3 linked regions of the Anolis sagrei genome follow. The protein of the gene in region 3 interacts with the protein of the main gene of each other region in a biochemical or structural test. Links are inferred from orthologs where the notes say so. Each region holds a gene or a part of one and is shown on either strand. Other genes may lie near its edges. The genes, in order: MINK1, HTRA2 and LATS1.

Region 1 (7,321 bases), on a different chromosome or scaffold from region 3:
CCACCTCTCCATCTATCCACTGATACATTTCTCTCTCTATCTCTTCACCCGTGTCTTTCTTTTTCTATCTATCCATTCACCAATACATTTCTCACTGTGTCTCTAACTATCCATCCATCCACCAATACATTTCTCTCTCTATCTCTTCACCTGTGTATTTTTATCTATCTATCTATCTATCTATCTATCCATTCACCTGTGTCTCTATCCATCCATTCACCAATACATTTCTCTCTTTATCTTTCTATCTCTTCACCTGTGTCTTTTTCTATCCATCCATTCACCTGTGTTTTTCTATCCATCCATTCACCAATACATTTCTTACTTTTCTCTATCAATTCACCTATGTCTCTAACTATCCATCCATCCATCCACCAATACATTTCTCTCTCTATCTCTTCACCCGTGTATTTTTCTATCTATCCATCCATTCACCTGTGTCTCTACCCATCCATTCACCAATACATTTCTCTCTTTCTCTATCTTTCTATCTGTTCACCTGGGTCTTTTTCTATCCATTCATTCACCAATACATTTCTCTCTTTATCTTTCTATCTCTTCACCTGTGTCTCTATCTATCCATCCATTCACCAATACATTTCTCTCTTTCTCTTTCTTTCTATCTATTCACCTGTGTCTTTTTCTATCTATCCATCCATTCACCTGTGTCTCTATCTATCCATTCACCAAAACATTTCTCAATTTTCTCTATCAATTCACCTGTGTCTCTATCCATCCATTGACCAATACATTTCTCTCTTTTTCTCTCTCTATTCACCTGTGTCTTTATTATGATTATTATTATTATCAGAGGGCTTCAGAGTGGGGTTGCCTTTGCTGCTTTGGTTCTCCTTGTAGAGATAAGAAAAAGTGGGATATAAATAAACATAATAATAACAATTTGCCCTATTATTCCCCTTTGGAGAGATAAAGTGAGGTATAAATAATAACAATAATAATTATTATTAGGGGTTGTGCAATAGCAATTAGAAGGCAGAAGAAGGGTGGGTGTTTTAAAGTGGGATATTTATTTACTATTTATTTATTTGAGCACAGACCCAAGGCGGCAACAACAGAACAAAAAAACATGCAGTACAAAAGCTAAAACAACCTGGAAAATCATAAATATTTGAAACTGGAAACATAGTTAAAATCATATAAACATTAAAACCAAGATAAAAACCTAGAGCTTACCTACAACTTATTTGGCTTAATTAAACGCTAAATAAACATAAGAATAAGACAATTTATACATAATAAATATTATTATTATTGGTATTCGGGCCTTTTACTCCCGCACTTAAGACCTGGCTTTTTACTAGAGCATTCGAACTCTGTTAATTTTTAATTTTTGTATGTATGTATTTTATCTTTAAATCGCCTAGAGCATTCTCAGATGGAGGGCGATAAATAAGTTATTAAATGATGATGATAGCAATCAGAAAGTGGAAGAATGGGTGCTGTGTTTTTTGGTAATTCTACATAATATAATTATGTATATCGGGGATGGCACTGAATTTCAATGTCCAATGACAGTTGATTTCTTTGTAATTCTACGTAATACATAGCTGGTGGTTGTAAACTGTCCCATAATTTTAATGCACTTTAGTAGTCATTTTTTCATTATGATGAAAATGTACTAGATGAGTTTTTATTATGTGTTTATTAGTTATTTTATATGGTTTTAATTGATTTACTTTGGTTAGTAATTCTAAGTTTTGCATGTGCGTTGTAATGTATTTTTTGGGTTTTAAGTCCCTTCTGCTGTGTTTTTTAGTGTTTTTATGAGTGATGGTCACTCATTGGCCAAATGTGCTGCGCGATGCCCTTCCTGCAGACACAACGTTTGCGCAGTTTAATAATCTTTTCTCATGTTTCGATGATACAACCCATTAGGAAATGACACTGACAACCCAGGAACATAGTGTAACATATTATAATAATATATAAGATCATAAGATCATACTATACAATATAATAATACTAGCCGTCCCCTGCCACGCGTTGCTGTGGCCCAGTGTGTGTATATGTGTTTTGTGTGTGTGTGTGTGTATATATATATTTTGTGTGTTTATATGTATACATGCATATTGCATATGTGTGTGCTTGTCTATATGCATATTTGTGTATATGTATGTATGTGTATATGTATATGTGTGCATATGTGTATATATATGTGTGCATGTATATGTGTATTTGTATATATATATGTGTGTATGTGTGTATTTGTATATGTATATTTGTGTGTGCTTGTGCATATATATACACGTGTGTATGTATGAATGTGTGCATGTGTATATGTATATGAGTGTATGTGTATATGTATATATGGTGTATTTTTGGAGTTTTTAAGTCTGTTCTGCTGGGGTTTTGTGTGTGTGTGTGTGTTTATGGATGATGGACACACGTTGGCCTGAGAGGTGCCTTGTGTCCAAATTTGGTGTCCATTCCCCCAGTGGTGATTAAGTTCTGTTAATCCCACAAACGAATATTACATTTTTATTTATATAGATTATTATTATTATGTGAATCGTGAATGGCATTTAATTTCAAAGTGCACTGAATGCAGGAAAGAAAGGAGGAGGCTTTGGAGAGGGACAATAACAACAACAACAACAACAACAATAATAGGGAGAAAGGTAAGAAAAGGGAGCCAGGCAGCTACGGTGGCCCTGAGAGCTCAAAAAGCGCCTTTTCAGCAGGGAGGGAGGGAGGCCATGGCATTTCCTGCAGCGGAAGCAACGAGAGGGAAGGAAAGAAAGAGGGAGGGGAACAGGAAGGGGAGGTGGGGGGGGCTGAAGCAGATGACCCCTGACCCTTGACCCCGCTCACCCTGAGGGCGGAGAGGTCGATGTCGTCGAGGCTGCGGGCGGGGGCCGGGTCGGCCATCCTTCCTTCCTTCTTCCTTCCTCCTTTCCTTTTCCCTCAAGGCTGCGGCCTAGTCTCTCCCATCCTCTTCCTTCAAACCTTCCTTCCTCTTCGCCTTCTCGCTTCGACTGACTGACTGACTGACAGGGAAGCACTTGCGCCGCACTGCGCCTGCGCAGAACAGCGGGTGGGCGGGGACTCCCCTGCGCCTGCGTCTTGGGCGCTCATTAGCGGGCGGGGAAAAGCGCGCATGCGTGCCAGAGCTCCCTGCACTATCGGTAGGCGTGGACTCTACTGCGCATGCGTTGTGGACGCTCATCCGCAGACAGGAGGAGAACGAAAGGAGTGCGCATGTGTGCACGCTCAATGGGCGTGGACTCTACTGCGCATGCGTTGTGGACGCTCATTAGCGGACGGGGGAAAGCGCGCATGCGTGCCAGAGCCCGCTGCACTATCGGTAGGCGGGGACTCCACTGCGCATGCGTCTCGGGCGCTCATTAGCGGGCGAGGGGAAAGCGCGCATGCGTGCCAGAGTCCGCTGCACTATTGGTAGGCGCGGACTCCAGCGCGCATGCGTCGTGGACACTCATCCGCAGACAGAAGCGAGGGAAACGAAAGGAGGGCGCATGTGTGCAAGCTCGATGGGCGTGGACTCTACTGCGCATGCGTTGTGGACGCTCATCCTCAGGAGGGAAACGCAAAGAGTGCGCATGCGTGCAGGCTCGATAGACGAGGACTCTACAGCGCATGCGTTGTGGACGCTCATCCGCATACAGAAGGAGGACGAAAGGAGTGCGCATGCGTGTACTCTCGATGGGCGTGGACTCTGCTGCGCATGCGTCGTGGACGCTCATCCGCATACAGAAGGGAGGCGAACGAAAAGAGTGCGCATGTGTGCACGCTCGATGGGCGTGGACTCTACTGCGCATGCGTTGTGGACGCTCCTCGGCAGAGAGGGCGGGAGGGGAAGAGACCACGCATGCGTACCACAGATTGAACGCTGAAGCCTCTTCCAGGGAAAGTCCCCGGATGGAGCTAAGGCACGAAGGAGCGAGGCACAGAAAAATGGCGCATGCGTACAAAGTAGTTTCCAGGAGGGGAAAGCAAAAAGGGTTTCTAGACTGCGCAGGCGTGGAAAGGAGACAGGAGTGGCGGAAGTGCTTTAAAACCAAGCCGATCGGCGGCGCCATGACGAGGCGGGGCTAATGGAGGCGGAGTGTTGGGAAAGGGATTGAGTGTGGCGGAAGTAAAGTCACACCTTGGCAGAGAGGCGTGAGGGCGCATGCGCGAGTGAGAAAAGGCGGGAAAAATGCACGAGGAAGTTGCCCTGACCCTGGAAGGGAAGAGATTAGCAAGTGCAGAGACCATTGTCAAAGAACATTCCTTGCAAGGACTGTAACATGCAAGAGATCATCCAGAGCTTTGGGGTGCGATGTCACTTGTATGCAGATGACATCCAACTCTGTCACTCCTTCCCACCTGCTACTAAGGAGGCTGTCTAGACCTTGAACCGGTGCTTGGCCGCTGTGACGGTCTGGATGAGGGCGAACAAACTGAAATTGAATCCAGACAAGACAGAGGTCCTCCTGGTCAGTCGCAAGGCCGAACAGGGTATAAGGTTACAGCCTGTGTTGGATGGGGTTACACTCCCCCTGAAGATGCAGGTTCGCAGCTTGGGTGTGATCCTGGACTCATCGCTAAGCCTGGAACCCCAGGTTTCGGCGGTGACCAGGGGAGCATTCGCACAGCTAAAGCTTCTGCGCCAACTGCGCCCGTACCTTGGAAAGTCTGATTTGACCACAGTAGTCCACGCTCTGGTTACATCCCGTTTAGACTACTGCAACGCTCTCTACGTGGGGTTGCCTCTGGAGACTGCTCGGAAGCTGCAGCAAGTCCAATGCTCGGCAGCCAGACTACTAACGGGGGCTGGGTACAGAGAGCATACTACTCCGCTGTTACACCAGCTCCACTGGCTGCCAATTAGCTTCCGAGCACAATTCAAAGTGCTGGTGTTGACCTATAAAGCCCTAAACGACTCCAGCCCTGTTTACCTCTCCCCTATGAACCATCAAGATTACTAAGATCGTCTGGAGGGGCCCTGCTCTCAGTCCCGCCGGCCTCACCAGCACAGCTGGTGGGGATGAGGGACAGGGCCTTCTCAGTGGTAGCCCTGCGACTCTGGAACTCTCTTCCGCCAGAGGTTAGAACCGCCCCAACAATCCTGACATTTAGGAAACAGGTGAAGTCGTGGTTATGGAGACAGGCTTTTGAAGAATGAGACAACGATCTGGATGGAAGACGGTGTATATTCGATTTTAGTATGACGACTGACCACTGTAGTTTTAAATATATATGCTTTTTTAATGTTTTATTGTAATGTGTATTTTGATATTTTACCGATTGTATGTGTTTTTATGGTTGGAAACCGGGCTGAGTCCCTCTTATGAGGTGAGAAGCTTGGTATATAAAACTTTTAAATAAATAAATAACAAAGAATCATGCCCTGGCCTCGGAGGATTTGGCCACCAGGGAAATGATTGCTTGGCAAATCTTGATTATATTACAATAGGACAAGGGGAATCAGAATCCTAGAGTTGGAAGAGACCTCCTGGGCCATCCTCCAGTCCAACCCCATTCTGCCCAGAAGCAGGAATATTGCATTCAAAGCACCCCTGACAGATGGCCATCCAGCCTCTATTTCAAAGCTTCCAAAGAAGGAGCCTCCACCACAGCCTTCGAAAAGTTCCCCCCTCCTGACCTGTCACACATTCAACTCTCTCACTGAAGGCATCCATTTAAGTTTCCCCCCATTGTTCCTCTGTTTTGGTGTAAAAGGAAAACCCGGATTATGTTGGTATCGCCAGCATCAATGTATATTTTACTCAATCACCAGACAATAGTAAAGCTTCGCTCGTAGGCCATTTTAGGACTCGCCAAGCCCCTGGACATTTCCTGATACCATAATCCACTCAAGAATGCATTGTATTCCCTTGTCTCGCCTCCCTCCCTCCCGATTCGCTGGAGCGCCTAGGCAGCAAAAGCCTCCTGATTGGCTCTGGCGCACCACAGAAGCCCTGTGATTGGCCCAGGCGCTTGGAGGGGGGTGGCCGAGCCTCCTCCCAGCACCAGCCAATCACCTTCAAGCCAGGCGAGGGGCGGAGAGCGGGAGATTTGAACCACATAACTCTGTATTTCTATAAAAATGGCATTTATTTGTGTACATGTTAGCTAAGCTTGGCGAAAGATTGCTGCTTTGCATCCTTTTCAGCTGAATCACAATAAAATCATCTTGGTGGCGCTTTCTTCTGTGGCAGTCATTAGGAAAAAAGTAATTATAAAATAATGAAATTAATGAATTAGTCTTACCTTTAAGGCTTTTCTGAGGCTGGAGGGAAGAATTCTGGTGAAAAGGGAAATTAACAGATGGAAATAGAACTAGGACAAGGAAGGAACCATATCTTAAGTCAATATTTGAGGAAGCCAAGGCTAAGGCTGAAGGCTGAGGTAGGAAACCTGGCTCAAAAGGTAAATCGATAATTATTGATCCAAAACAAACATCTGAAGATATGGTACAACAGCGCCATCTATCCTCCATCTGATGTAAATAGCAGGTAATTCAGTCCTATGATATTCTAATAAGAATATAGGAAAATAATGTGAAAGTAATTACAGAAGAATTAATAAGGGAAATGCTTGCTTTGAATAAGTTAAAGAACATATATGAAGATACATATATGAAGATATATGTGTGAAGAGATATATGAAGTTAAGATTCACTTTTACGTAATTCATCTAGGAACGTGGTCAGCTGATGAAAGGAGAGCAGTGGAAAATATAGTATCTTGCCAACAAGTGTTCTTGGCCGCGGTTTCTCGAGGACAAACTGATATTGATTAGATTGTGTAAATGTCAAGAGAGTTATGCGCATGTGTAAACTAGGTAATTCTGCCTATAAATACTGGATGCTTTTGGGGCAGTGCTCTGTGCCACATCAGCCATTTTGGGAAGCTGGAGCACCCTTACCCGGGTAAGATTAAAATTCTGTGAACTTGCAAAAGCTGTCTCTGTCTCTTCCTTCTTCGCTGATCTCCTGGATTCTTGGAAATTGGGGACCCTCCCGCTACACTTCAACTTTGGTGAGATTCTTTTTGGGAACCTAGGGAAATTATTTTAAATTGGGCTTCTCTTTGCTCCCCATTGTAGCGATCCCTCTTTGGTGGGTCCGCAGGGTCTCTCCTACAGGGCCAGGCCCTTCTAATAAAATCCTCCATGATTTCAACCTCAAGCCGTCAGGTTGATGATGAGGATGACCGTATCACCTAAACATGCGCAGATATAAACGAAGCACATGTCGGCAGACAGAAGCCTCTACTAATGAACTGCCAGGAACGAGAAACTGCACAGCGAAAAAGGCAAACTTGTTTATTGCACTCATCAACAAGCAAGAAGCACC
Region 2 (7,019 bases), on a different chromosome or scaffold from region 3:
TGAACGGCTCTCACAGTCAGGAAGTTCTTCCTCGTGTTGAGATGGAATCTCCTTTCCTGTAGTTTGAAGCCATTGTTCCCTTGCGTCCTAGTCTCCAAGGAAGCGGAAAACAAACTTGCTCCCTCCTCCTCCCTGTGGCTTCCTCTCACATATTTATGCATGGCTATCATATCTCCTCTCAGCCTTCTCTTCTTCAGGCTAAACATGCCCAGCTCCTTAAGCCGCTCCTCATAGGGCTTGTTCTCTAGACCCTTCAACAACACAGTATATAAAACAATTACATCATAAACACATTAACCAATTAACAACAGTAATCATACACTAACGTCTCATAACTAAAAACATGATCCAAAATCGTCATCCATTCCTCCATTCCTATGTTCATTCACTCATTGCACTGTCTATTCAAACGCCTGTTCAAATAACCAGGTTTTCACTTTTTTCCGGAATACCATTAGCGATGGGGCCGATTTAATGTCCGTGGGAAGGGCGTTTCACAGCCGAGGGGCCACCACCGAGAAGTCCCTATCTCTCGTCCCCGCCAGCTGTGCTTGTGTAGCAGGCGGGATCGAGAGCAGAGCCTCCCCGTATGATCTCAAAGTCCTGGTGGGTTCGTTCTACTATATTGTAATTTTTTGTAATGTCTTATACTTTATACTTTTTCTAATCTGTTAATATTTAATAATGTTGATTACTTTTTGGAATAGTTGTAAGTTTTATATTGTGATTGTTTTTATTTAATTTACAGTTTGTTAGTTTCTGGCATTTAATGTTTGTCACTTTTGTTGGAAACCGCCCCGAGTCCTATTATTATTATTATTATTACTAGCCATCCCTTGCCACGTGTTGCTGTGGCCCAATCTGGTGATCTGGAAAATAAAGTAATGAGAAAGTGTTGGTTTCTAATCTATGTAGTCTTTCTGCTTGTGGGTAAACAGTATTTCTTGTTGTTTCTTCGTCAGTGTTGATGTGGAGAGTGTCTGGTTTGCCTACTCTGGAACATGCAACATATAATTGTCCTTCTTTAGAGGTCCCTTTCAAATTTATGATACTATATCTGTGTGTGAGAGAGAGAATAATATACATCTATATTTATGACTGGATTCCTCATTGTCAGGAGGGCTATGATTACATTTTCCTGCCCTGGTGAAGAGTTGGACTGGGTGGCCTCAAGTATTTTCTGTTGGTCATGGGGTTCCTGTGTGGGAAGTTTGCCCCAATTCTATCGTTGGTGGGGTTCAGAATGCTCTTTGACTGTAGGTGAACTATAAAACCCAGTACCTACAACTCCCAAATGTCACGGTCTATTTTCCCTAAACTCCATCTGTGTTCATATTTGGGCATATTGAATATCTGTGCCAAGTTTGGTCCAGATCCATCATTGTTTGAGTCCACAGTGCTCTCTGGATGTAGGTGAACTACAACTCCCAAACTCAAGGTCAATGCTCATCAAACCCTTCTAGTGTTTTCTGTTGGTCATGGGAGTCCTGGTTCAATTCCATCGTTGGTGGAGTTCAGAATGCTCTTTGATTGTAGGTGAACTATAAATCCCAGAAACTACAACTACCAAATGACAAAATCAAATTGAGAGAAGGACATACATTGGGTTGTTAGGTGTATGCTGTCTAAATTTGGTGTCAATTCCCCCGGTGGTTTTTGAGTTCTGTTAATCTCACAAACGAACATTACATTTTTATTTATATACTAGCCATCCCCTGCCACGTGTTGCTGTGGCCCAGTCTTTGTATATGTGTTTTGTGTGTTTATATATATTTGGGTATATGTGTGATGTGTGTGTGGTTTTGTGCCTGCCACACATTGCTGTAGTCCTGTCTGTGTATATGTGTTTTGTGTGTGTATATATGTGTGTGTGTGTGTGTATTTGTGTTTATATATATATATGTGTGCGCGCACATATATTTGTGTTTATATGTATATATGTGGTTTTCCACATGCATTATAATGTGCGGTCCAGTCTGTGCACATGTGGTGTGTGTATATGTGTGTGCATATGTGTGTTTGCATATCTATATGTGGTTTCGTGCATGCGTTGTATTTATTTATATATATATAAATAAACATCAGACTGGCAACAAAGATCCGCCTAGTCAAAGCCATGGTATTCCCTGTAGTAACCTACGGATGTGAGAGCTGGACCTTAGGGAAGGCTGAGCGAAGGAAGAGAGATGCTTTTGAGCTGTGGTGTTGGAGGAAAGTGCTGAGAGTGCCTTGGACTGCGAGAAGATCCAACCAGTCCATCCTCCAGGAAAGAAAGCCCGGCTGCTCACTGGAGGGAAGGAGACTAGAGGGAAAGTGGAAGTCCTTTGAATGCCACATCATGAGGAGACAGCAAAGCCTTGATAAGGGAATGATGCTGGGGAAAGTGGAAGGCAAAAGGAAGAGGGGCCGACCAAGGGAAAGATGGATGGATGGCATCCTTGAAGGGACTGGACTGACCTTGAAGGAGCTGGGGGTGGTGACGGCCCACAGGGAGCTCTGGCATGGGCTGGTCCATGAGGTCATGAAGAGTCGGAGACGCCTGAACGAATGAACAACAACAATACAGTCTTATGCACAGGCCCAGCGTGCGACAGCACAATAATACTAAATAATAACCCTAAAGGCGCACCTGCCCAGGATCTCGATGTAGACGAGGGCCGGGGCGGTCCGTTCCACGACGTCGGCGATGAAGTTGTAAGTGGTGCGCGGGGAAGGCGGCGGGGAAGGCACGGCGGCCAAGAGCGCGGGGACCAGGCCTTCCTCGGGCCTCCGCCGTTTGCGAGGGAGGAAGAACAGCAGCAGCAGCCCGGCCCCCGCTCCGCACGCTCCCATGGCTGCCCAACGCCAACGAGGAGGAGACGGCGGCGGAGAAGGAGGAGGAAAAGGAGGCCTTCCTCCGCCTGAGAAGACCGCCCTCTTTCCCAACGCCAAGCACAAACCCCTCCGCATCCCCGCCGGCCACATCCTCCCTATCCCCCGGGCGAAGGAAACAAGAGACTCCCTGGGAGTAACACCGGAAGTGTAGGCCGCGGCGCCACCGGAAGTGTAGGCCGAAGCGCAGTTTTGTTTACTTCCGGGCGGGGAACCAATCAGGGCGCAGGGCTGTGCTACGCGGTGACGCACTTCCGCCCAACTGGGGCCTGTGCGAGGAGGCGACCGGAAGTGTAGTCCGAGGCGCTTTTTGGTCACTTCCGGGCGGGGAACCAATCAGGGCTCAGGGTTGTGCTACGCGGTGACGCATTTCCGCCCAACTGGGGCCTGTGCGAGGAGGCGACGCCAAGATGGCCGCCGGGCCTTGGGAGCGCTGAGGGAGAGCCCGGGAAGGGAAGGAGGAGAGGCGGGAGGCGCCGGGGAGAAGCCATGGATCCCGCGCCGCCCTCCGCAGCAGCAGCGGGCGCCTCTCCTTCCCCCGTGGGGCCCGAGCGCCTCTTCGACTCGCACCGGTGAGGGCAGGAGCGCGGCGCAGTGGATTTGGGCCTACCTCTCTCCTCAGACCCTCACGCCTCTCTTTCTCTCTCTCTGTCTCCTTCTCTCCCGCAGCCTCCCGGGAGACGGCCTGCTGGCGGTGGCGCTGCTGCTCTACGCGCCCGTGGGCCTCTGCCTGCTCCTCCTGCGCCTCTTCGTCGGACTCCACGTCTTCCTCGTCAGCTGCGCCCTCCCCGACAGCGCCCCCAGGAGGTCAGGCTCACCCCTCGCCACCATCACTGCCATTACACTCTCCCACTTCTGCCCCAGAGGCTCCTTCTTTGGAAGCTTTGAAACAGAGGCTGGATGGCCATCAGTCAGGGGTGCTTTGAATGCAATATTCCTGCTTCTTGGCAGAATGGGGATGGACTGGATGATGGCCCAGGAGGTCTCTTCCCACTCTAGGATTCTAGGATTATATGACTGTGAGAGCCATTCAGCAGTGGAACTCTCTGCCCCGGAGTGTGGTGGAGGCTCTTTCTTTGGAAGCTTTTAAAAAGAGGCTGGATGGCCATCTGTCAGGGGTGCTTTGAATGCAATATTCCTGCTTCTTGGCAGAAAGGGGTTGGACTGGATGAAGGCCCATGAGGTCTCTTCCAACTCTTTGATTCTATGATTCTATGCCTGTGAGAGCTGTTCAACAGTGGAACTCTCTGCCCTGGAGTGTGGTGGAGGCTCCTTCTTTGGAAGCTTTGAAACAGAGGCTGGATGGCCATCTGTCAGGGGTGCTTTGAATACAATACTCCTGCTTCTTGGCAGAATGGGGTTGGACTGGAGGGCCTGTTATAAGTACTTTTTAAAACATTAAATAGGTAGTGACAAGCTGGAATGTGTCCAGAGGAGGGCGACTAAAATGATCAAGGATCTGGAGAACAAGCGTTATGAGGAGCGGCTTAAGGAGCTGAGCATGTTTAGCCTGAAGAAGAGAAGGCTGAGAGGAGATATGATAACCATGTATAAATATGTGAGAGGAAGCCACAGGTAGGAGGAGGGAGCAAGCTTGTTTTCTGCTTCACTGGAGACTAGGACGCAATGGAGCAATGGCTTCAAACTCCAAGAGAGGAGATTCCATCTGAACATGAGGAAGAACTTCCTGAATCATAGAATCCAAGAGTTGGAAGAGACCTCCTGGGTCATCATCCAGTCCAACCCCATTCTACAAAGAAGCAGGAATATTGTATTCAAATCACCCCTGACAGATGGACATCCAGCCTCTGTTTAAAAGCTTCCAAAGAAGGAGCCTCCACCACACTCCCTCCGGGGCAGAGAGTTCCACTGCTGAATGGCTCTCACAGCCAGGATGTTATTCCTCATGTTCAGATGGAATCTCCTCTCTTGTAGTTTGAAGCCATGGCTCCATTGCGTCCTAGTCTCCAGGGAAGCAGAAAACAAGCTTGCTCCCTCCTCCTCCCTGTGGCTTCATCTCACATATTTATCCATGGCTAACATATCTCCTCTCAGCCTTCTTTTCTTCAGACTAAACATGCCCAGCTCCTTAAGCCGCTCCTCATGGGGCTTGTTCTCCAGACCCTTGATCATTTTACTCGCCCTCCTCTGGACACATTCCAGCTTGTCAATATCTCTCCTGAATTGTGGTGCCCAGAATTGGACACAATATTCTAACCAAGGCAGAATAGAGCATGGGGAGCATGATTTCCCTAGATCTAGACACTAGGCTCCTCTTGATGCAGGCCAAAATCCCATTAGCTTTTTTTGCTGCCACATCACATTCCTGGCTCATGTTTAACTTGTTGTCCACGAAGACTCCCAAGATCTTTTTCACACATACTGCTTCCAAGCCAGGCACCCCCCATCACCACCAGCACACTCTCTCACTTCTGCCCCGAAGTGTGGTGGAGACTCCTTCTTTGGAAGCTTTTAAGCAGAGGCTGGATGGCCATCTGTCAGGGGTGGTTTGAATGCAGTATTCCTGCTTCTTGGCAGAATGGGGTTGGACTGGATGGCCCATGAGGTCTCTTCCAACTCTTTGATTCTATGATTTTAAGAACTTCCTGACTGTGAGAGCTGTTCAGCAGTGGAACTCTCTGCCCCAGAGTGTGGTAGAGGCTCCTTCTTTGGAAGCTTTGAAACAGAGGCTGGATGGCCATCTGTCAGGGCTGATTTGAATACAGTATTCCTGCTTCTTGGCAGAATGGGGTTGGACTGGATGATGGCCCATGAGGTCTCTCCCAGCTCTATGATTCTATGATTTTAAGAACTTCCTGACTGTGAGAGCTGTTCAGCAGTTGAACTCTCAGCCCCAGACAGCTAATCACCTCTAAACAAAAGATTTCCCCAGGCAGTAACAAGCCATACCAAAAAACTGCCAGGCCATCAAATGCTAATCAAGGTGGTCAGTTGAAACATTCACCCCTAGCTCCCAACAGACAAGAGTTCTTTGTCCCACTCTGGTCATTCCTCAGATATGTTGTTGTTCATTCGTTCAGTCGTCTCCGACTCTTCGTGACCTCATGGACCAGCCCACGCCAGAGCTCCCTGTCGGCCGTCACCACCCCCAGCTCCTTCAAGGTCAGTCCAGTCCCTTCAAGGATGCCATCCATCCATCTTGCCCTTGGTCGGCCCCCCCTTTCCCCAGCATCATTCCCTTCTCTAGGCTTTGCTGTCTCCTCATGATGTGGCTTTCCTAGTTCCAACAGACCTCACTACCTCTGAGGATGCTTGCCATAGATGCAGGTGAAACGTCAGGAGAGAATGCCTCTAGAGCACGGCCAGATAGCCCAAAAAAACCTACAACAATCCGATACAAAAATTAAAATGAAGAGCTAGTTTAACAAATATAAACTTACTAGTATTTCAGTGGTGAGTGTGGGCCTGCTTTTGGCTGATGAAATAGAATTGTTGTTGTTGTGTGCTTTCAAGTCGTTTCAGACTTAGGTTGACCTTGAGCGAGGGCCGGGTAAATGACCTTAGAGGGCCGTATCTGGCCCCCGGGCCTTAGTTTGAGGACCCCTGTTCTAGAGGCATTCTCTCCTGACGTTTTGTCTGCATCTGTGGCAAGCATCCTCAGAGACTGTGAGGTTTGTTGGAAACTGGAAAATTGGGTTTATATATCTGGAAGGTTCAGGGTGGGAGAAAGAACTCTTGTTTGTTGGAGGCAAGTGTGGAGTTGCCTTTGAAGACGGTCCGGAAGCTTCAACTAGTCCATGTGGTTCATGTGGATTTCAGTGGCTTCTCTGTGTAGTCTGACCTGGTGGTTGTGAGAGTGGTCCAGGATTTCTGTGTTGTCAAATAAAATGCTGTGTCCAGGTGGGTTCAGCAGGTGTTCTGCTATGGCTGACTTCTCTGGCTGAAGTAGTCTGCAGTGCCTTTCATGTTCCTTGACTCGTGTTTGGGCAATGCTGCTGCGTTTGGTAGACTTGTCCACAGCTGCATGGTATATGGTGTACCCCTGCAGAAATTGTTCTTTGCTAAACGTAGCATTTGTTGGATTGCCATACAGCAAGGGAACCACTGACCACACAGGGAAGCAGATGAGGAAACACAAAATACAAACTATCTACAGACTCACTAAGAAAATCCAACAAATGCTACGT
Region 3 (6,933 bases):
CTCTTCTCACTACCTTCACATTGGGCTCTAGTAGAGAAGGCTGCTTTTCTTGCTCTTTATGTAACATCTTTTTCTTACTGTATTCTCAGTTTTTTTCCCTAATTCATATTCCTTTCTCTATTGTTATTTCTATATATGTGGACATTTTAAGATCAGTGATGCAAGTTAGCCCCTATTTCACACACACACTCAAATTGTAACACCTCAAATAATCTCTTTTTAGCTTTTTCTAAGAATGTTCCCTCTATACATCTTTAAAAAGAAACAATTTGTTTCCTGCATGCCCCGAAGTTCTAACCTGAACTTCTCCATGAGTCAAAGCAAAATCCATACGATTGGCTCCAAACCCCTTTCTTGACATATAATAAATTTATCTTATACATGAGTACAGGCAGTCCCCGCATTATAAACATTCAACTTACAAATGGGGAAGAGACAACAGGAAGTGAGAGACATTTAGTCCTAGGAAGAGAAATTCACTCCTGAAAGAGTTATCATGGAGAAATGGTGTCTCCACTGAAGCTTTCTCTCCCATCCTTTGTGACCGCCTATCTTTGTGATCGCATCTCCTACCATAAACCTGCATGATCTCTTCGATCTTCTGGAGAGGCCCTCCTTTTGCCCTTCCTCTATCACAAGCACGACTTATGGGAACAAGGGAGAGAGCCTTCTCCGCTGTGGCCCCCCGACTTTGGAACTTGCTACCCGGGGAGATTAGGCAAGCCCCCACCCTAGCAGCCTTTAAGAAAGATCTAAAAACTTGGCTATTCTGATGTGCTTTCGGAGAGTGACCATGCAACCCATTTTGTTTGTTTCCATCCATAGTTGTCCTCACGATGCACTTTCCCCCTGTCCTTAATAAAGCCAAACCCCACTGCTCCCCATTCTTGGACTCCTCCCTCACAAATATACTTTTTATTCCTGGATCCATTAGCATTTCTATATTATTTCTGCGATGCCATAGAAAAGGTTCAAACCTTCAATATGTTGGGTTGCAACCTTTTCTAAGTATCTCAACTCCTTCTTTAAAGTAAAATAGAAAGGTTGAGCATCTTTACTCAGAATTCTGAAATACTCCAAAATTCACAATGGTCTAGAACTGTGGCTAAGATAGTGCCACATCTGCTTTTTAACAGTTCAATATACACAAACATTCTTCCGTGCACAAAATTTCCAATACTGTATATAGCATTACTTTCAGGCTATGTCATTGTGTTCATACATGCAAATAGAGTTATCCCAAAATCCAAAACACTTTGGGGCCCAAGAATTTCTGATAAGGAATGGTTAACTTGCATTAGCCCTAAATATTAATTTCCCATTTCCTTTTTCACTTCCTTTGAGGCCATCTTCATGTTAGACATCAAACTGTCAATATAAAAAGTTGTGTATTTTATTACTTCTTATTGTTTATATAGCTAGCAATTCTAATATTTAAAAATGACAACATGCAGCATCAAAATACACAAAAGCAGAGGCCTTACTTTCTTGAAAAAGGCAACTGCACATTGTTTGAATTCACTGTGCCAGCTAAAATGTTGGAATTCAAACATACAACAAATCTGTGTCCCTAAAGGTGACTGCATTCTTTAATATGAGGAAGAGAAAGAGCCAATTACAGACCAATTGCATGACACGCAAATTCATGAAGCGTTCCATATTTTTAGGGATCCAAGAAGATATTGTATTTATTTTATTTATTGTATTGTATATTACTTGTAAGCTTCTCTGAGTCCCCTTTGGGGCGAGAAAGGTAATAAATAAATAAATAATTCTGTGTTGGATTTGCATCACCCATTCTTTGTGATTTTTCCGGCTTCTGATCCAAATAATTGCTTTGAAATATTGTCCACAGAAAAGATGGTTATAGCAAAATCTGGATAATTACGAGATATTCGCTGACTTGTCATAAAACAAAACAAAGGGAACACCAATCAGGACATATGGAAGACACTAATCTCTGAAGGCAGAATAACCAACAGGTGCAAGGGAGTGAAGTGACTTAAAAGTCGAGAGAGAGAGACACCGGGAATGGGCAAACTTTGGTCCTCCAGGTGTTTTGGACTTCAACTGTTAGGAATTGTGGGAGCTGAAGTCCAAAACACCTGGAGGGCCAAAGTTTGCCCAAGCCTGATATAGGCTATGGGCCCTTCCATAAAGCCATATAAGAGCTGTGAGAGAAGGCTTTCTCTTCCACACAGCCCTATATCCCAGAATATCGTGGCAGGAAATCCCACATTTTCCGCTTTGAACTGGAATATATGGCAGTGTGGACTCAGATAACCCAGTTCAAAGCAGATATTGTGGTATTTTCTGCCTTGATATTGTAGGATATAGGGCTGTGTGGAAGGGCCCCAAGTCTTAACATCATCACAAGAATATCAAGAAAAGCTCTCTCATGGTCCTTCCACACAGCCATATAACCCAAAATATCAAGGGAGAAAATCCCACAATATGCGCTTTGAACTGCGTTACCTGAGTCCACACTGCCATATAGTCCAGGTTCAAAGCGGCTAATGTGGGACTTTATTCAGCTGTGTGGAAGGGGCCTATAAAGGGTCTCTCCTTCATCCGCTTCGTGGCTTTTAAGGCCCTGGTAACTCCCTTATTTTGGAGTGTCTTTCCCACGGAGAGTCCAGACCTCGCCTATCTTTTTGCTCTATGCCTCCCTCTCCGATTCACACCATGCGAACAGATCCTGACTGAACACACGTGGGGAGCGGTTTTTGTCCCGACGTGACCACACCGCAGGCCGAGGCGTGTCGCGCGCAGGGCCTTCCCGGCCTTCCCTGAGGCGGAGCGCGAGCCAGCCCTTGCCACCCACCTGCTTTGCCGGAGAGAGAGAGAGAGAGAGACGCGGGGGGGGGGGGGGGAGGCGAGGCGGGGACAAGGCCTCGGCTTCGGGGGCTGCTCAGAGAGTGGTGTCGGCGTCTACGCGGCTTCGGCCCCCAGCACTATGGCAGCGACAGCGGCGTCCTGTCCCGTCCCTCCCCTCGCCAGCTCTCCCCCTCCCTCTTTTCGGGGTTCAGTTCCGGGCTGCCATTTTGTCGGTGGGCCTCTTTCTCGCCCCAGGTTCCCGGATGTGAAAACTTTTCTCCCGGCCTCCTTTGCGCGTTTCGCCGGCAGTCTGCTCTCGCGCACCCTTCCTCTCCCCCCCCCTTTGGAGAAGGAGGCCTTCATTCGGGCGCCGCCTCCGAGACAGGCAGGGAGCGGGCGCCTCAGCCACACCACGGCTGGAGGAGGGCTCTTTGACTCGGGCCTGGGCCAACTTGGGCCCTCCCTGCAGGCCTTTTGGACTTCAACTCCCACCATTCCTCGCAGCCTCAGGCCCCTTCCTTTTCCCCCTCGCCCGCTTAACAGTTTGACTCAGGCCTGGACCAACTTGGGCCCTCCCTCCTGGTGTTGTGGACTTCAACTCCCATCATTCCTCAGGCCCCTTCCTTTCCCCTCTCAGCTGCTTAGCTGTTTGACTCAGCCCTGGACCAACTTTGGCCCTCCCTGCAAGTGTTTTGGACTTCAACTCCCACCATTCCTCGCAGTCTCAGGCCCCTTCCTTTTCCCCCTCAGCCGCTTAGCAGCTTGACTCAGGCCTGGGCCAACTTGGGCCCTCCCTGCAGGCCTTTTGGACTTCAACTCCCACCATTCCTCGCAGCCTCGGGCCAGGGCCGTAGCCAGAAAATTTTTTTGGGGAGGGTTGAAAATTTCGGGGGTGGGGAGAGGAGTTGAAACCTGCCTCTTAGCTCATGCTGAAGCAAAGAGTACAGCAGGGGACAGAGCAGCCTTCAATAGCCTGCAGCTCTGCCCCTGTCAACCACCTCCACCAAGTCTGCCCTCCTTAATGAGAGCATTCAACACACACACACCCAACTTGGTTGCTTCGCTACATCAGCTATTGCTGCAAGTAATGACAGTGTGAATAAATTGTCAATATTTGCTTGAAATAGTGCTTGCAGTTCTGGAGGGACTCTTAATTTTTTGTGTCTCATAGACTTAGCATGGGGATTTGGTTAACCAGTTAAAATTCATGAGTAAACCAGTTTTTTTTTAACCTGAAACATTTCGGGGGGGGGGGGGGGTTGAACCCCTAACCCCCCCCCCCCTTGCTACAGGCCTGCCTCAGGCCCCTTTCTTTTCCCCCTCAATTGTTTAGCAGTTTGACTCAGGCCTGGGCCAACTTGGGCCCTCCCTGCAGTTTTGGACTTCAACTCCCACCATTTCTAAGGCTGGATCTCGCATTTCTCGCAGCCTCAGGCCTTCCTGTGAATTGTATTAAATGACAGTGTAGACTCATATAATCCAGTCCAATCTGCATTCTGAAACTACATTATATGGCAGTATAATAATAACAACAAAACCTTATTTGTATCCCACCCTATTTCCCCAAAGGGACGCAAGGTGATTTCCAACATAAAAGGCAAAACATTCAATTGCCAAAAAAAAATAAAAATAAAAATCACAGATTAAAATAAAAGCATCATAAAACACAAAAATCCTACTAAACACAACAATAAAAATTTAAACTGATTGCAGTTATAACTCCCATCAGACAAGGCTCAACAAAAACCAATGTCCAGGACTATAAAACGGGCATGGTTAACTATAAAAGGGCTGGGCAAGGAATAATGGAAACAGGGTATCATAGGGCTGAGGAAGTGATGAAGGTGTAGAACCAGGAAGCTGGTTAAATCTCAGCATACTGATCCTGAAATCAGGCAGACTGAAAATCCTTGAGATTTACCATCAAGTAATGCCAGGATGATAATAGAAATGAAATGCTAATGATGTATGCTTTCACAATATTTCTGACTTATGGCAACTATATAAATGGGTTTTCTGGGGTGGAGAGTATTTGACTTTCTCAAGGTCAAAAAGTGGGTTTCCACGGCCAAGCAAGAAACTGAACTCTTGCCTCCAGCCATAGTTTAATGCTTAAACCACAACACAATGCTGGCTCTAATGAAATATAGGCTAAATGTTGTTTTATAGTTTACTGCAGGAACAGGGCAGTTGAAGTTCTCTGGATATTAGGTTCCAGTTCCCAATCTGGTCAGTATTAGGGTATAGATTATTAACACACTTATTCACCTCTGCTTTAGTGAAATAGATAAAATATTTTTGTACCTAATGATCTGTTTCTGTTTTCCTTTGCTGGATGATATTTTCTTCTAACATTGCCGAAAAGTCTCTTAAATGTAATATATTGTGTTTTTATTTATCAGAATTTAATGAAAACAATTTTTTGCTTAGAATGTTGTGTTGCCATTATGGTTAACACAATATAACACAGTTCATACTGCTGATATGGGTCACTTTATCCTTTGTTGTAGTTTTCAGCATTGGTAAACTTCTGGGAAACAGAAATAATCAATTTATGAACAATAACTGTTTACTGTTTATTTTATGCAAGAATTAGATTAAAAAAACTAATGCTGTAACATGGATTGTATTGCATTTGCCCTTCTATATTCTTAATTGACATAAAATAACATGAAATTCAGTATTGTGAAGCTAAAGTTTCGAGTCAGAGCTAAAGATAACTATGCGAAGAAGTTTTTCTTAACATAGATAGATTCTGCATCAGTTCCATATACAAGACATGATCCTAAGACATCTAAACTATTAACAGACAGTGTAGGATTTGAAATTAAATTTGTGATTTCTCTAGTAGGATCGTTCCTTAACCATGCACTAATCACAGACTGAGACTGAGGCAAAAATGTGGTACTTCTCCCACCTGAAAACAAAACACAAAAATAGTTATCATCACAACTGCATATTTTGCAGATTAATGTAATAGTTAAGACAAGCACATGCACTTTATACTTAAACATTAGGCCTGGGTAACAACGGAAAAATTTGTTTCTAAAATCGATTCGTTTTTTGGGGGTTTTTGCGTTTCGATATTTAAAAGAATTCCGAAATTTTTCTTTTAAAAAGTTCGATATTTATGAAATTTCGTAAATGTAAAAAAAAATTACGAAACATTAACGAAACAAATACGAAACAATAACGAATCGATTCGTTAATGGCGGACGCGACCGCGCAATACGCTAAAAAACCTCCAAATGGGACAGGGGGAACTTCTGAAGCTTCCCTCTCCCTCTGTTGTTGACTGTTGGTGTGATATTATAATTTTTTTTCACTAATTAAACAAAAAACAACTATAAAACTTGCCCCAGACATGCGGAAATAATAACGAAATGAACTCAAACCGATAACGAAACGAATACATAACGAATCCGAAGCATTTACGAAACGAATTTAAAAATTCGTTTCGTTTTTAAGTTGCTCCAGAATGGTTCGTTATCGCTTCGTTATTTTAAAAAAAAAATAACGAATTTTTAACGAATTACGAATTAACGAAACGAAACCGCCCAGCCCTATTAAACATCCTTAAAGTGTTGAGCTTTGTCACTAATGTGCCAGAAATACAGCTTATACGCTATAGACCTCCAGAACCATTAAACCATTATCTCCTTGCTTCATGAGAAGTTAGAGTAAAAGCAAATATTTAAATATTAAGTCGGTATCACTTTTAGGCTCTTCTCCCCACAAGTAAAAGTGGAGGTTTCTTTGTCTGAGTAGGAATTTGTACCCTGGTCTTGAGTTGTAGTCCAACACTCAAAACACTATACCACACTGGAATATAGATCACATAAAGGTTTATTTCACCTTTATCAAGGAAGATGCATATAATGATGGAAACCAAGTGAACATGCCAAGTTAAAAATTACTGTGCTAAAAGAACGGCGGGGAATCTCTTGTCAATGCAATTGCTTAGAAGCTTAAATAAGATTTACCTGTATGAAGGTAAGATTTCCTTTCAGACACATCAGTGGAAGCATCCCAGTGCCACAGAGTTCCATCCTCTGAACATGTGAACAAGTGATCAGGATTGGAAGGATGAAAGTGCACTTCCCACACTGAAAAAAA

Evidence for each region.
Region 1: of the proteins of LATS1 (region 3) and MINK1, one has a biochemical effect on the other in vitro, tested with the Homo sapiens proteins (2 studies listed by BioGRID). The link is inferred for Anolis sagrei from reciprocal best matches to the Homo sapiens genes LATS1 and MINK1.
Region 2: the proteins of LATS1 (region 3) and HTRA2 form a complex in vitro, tested with the Homo sapiens proteins (2 studies listed by BioGRID, with this or other methods). The link is inferred for Anolis sagrei from reciprocal best matches to the Homo sapiens genes LATS1 and HTRA2.

The regions. Positions count from the first base shown.
Region 1 is NC_090026.1:1,089,533-1,096,853, reverse strand, and holds the start of MINK1 (misshapen-like kinase 1), read right to left. Parts: upstream 3,063-7,321; 5' UTR 2,890-3,062; coding exon 2,833-2,889; intron 1-2,832. UniProt on the Homo sapiens protein: Serine/threonine kinase which acts as a negative regulator of Ras-related Rap2-mediated signal transduction to control neuronal structure and AMPA receptor trafficking.
Region 2 is NC_090025.1:3,653,919-3,660,937, reverse strand, and holds the start of HTRA2 (serine protease HTRA2, mitochondrial), read right to left. Parts: upstream 3,058-7,019; 5' UTR 2,965-3,057; coding exon 2,630-2,964; intron 1-2,629. Other genes in the region: lipid droplet-regulating VLDL assembly factor AUP1, read left to right, coding at 3,361-3,443, 3,541-3,678.
Region 3 is NC_090021.1:73,307,066-73,313,998, reverse strand, and holds the start of LATS1 (serine/threonine-protein kinase LATS1), read right to left. Parts: upstream 3,111-6,933; 5' UTR 2,825-3,110; intron 1-2,824. Other genes in the region: nucleoporin Nup43, read right to left, coding at 5,538-5,734, 6,801-6,923. UniProt on the Homo sapiens protein: Negative regulator of YAP1 in the Hippo signaling pathway that plays a pivotal role in organ size control and tumor suppression by restricting proliferation and promoting apoptosis.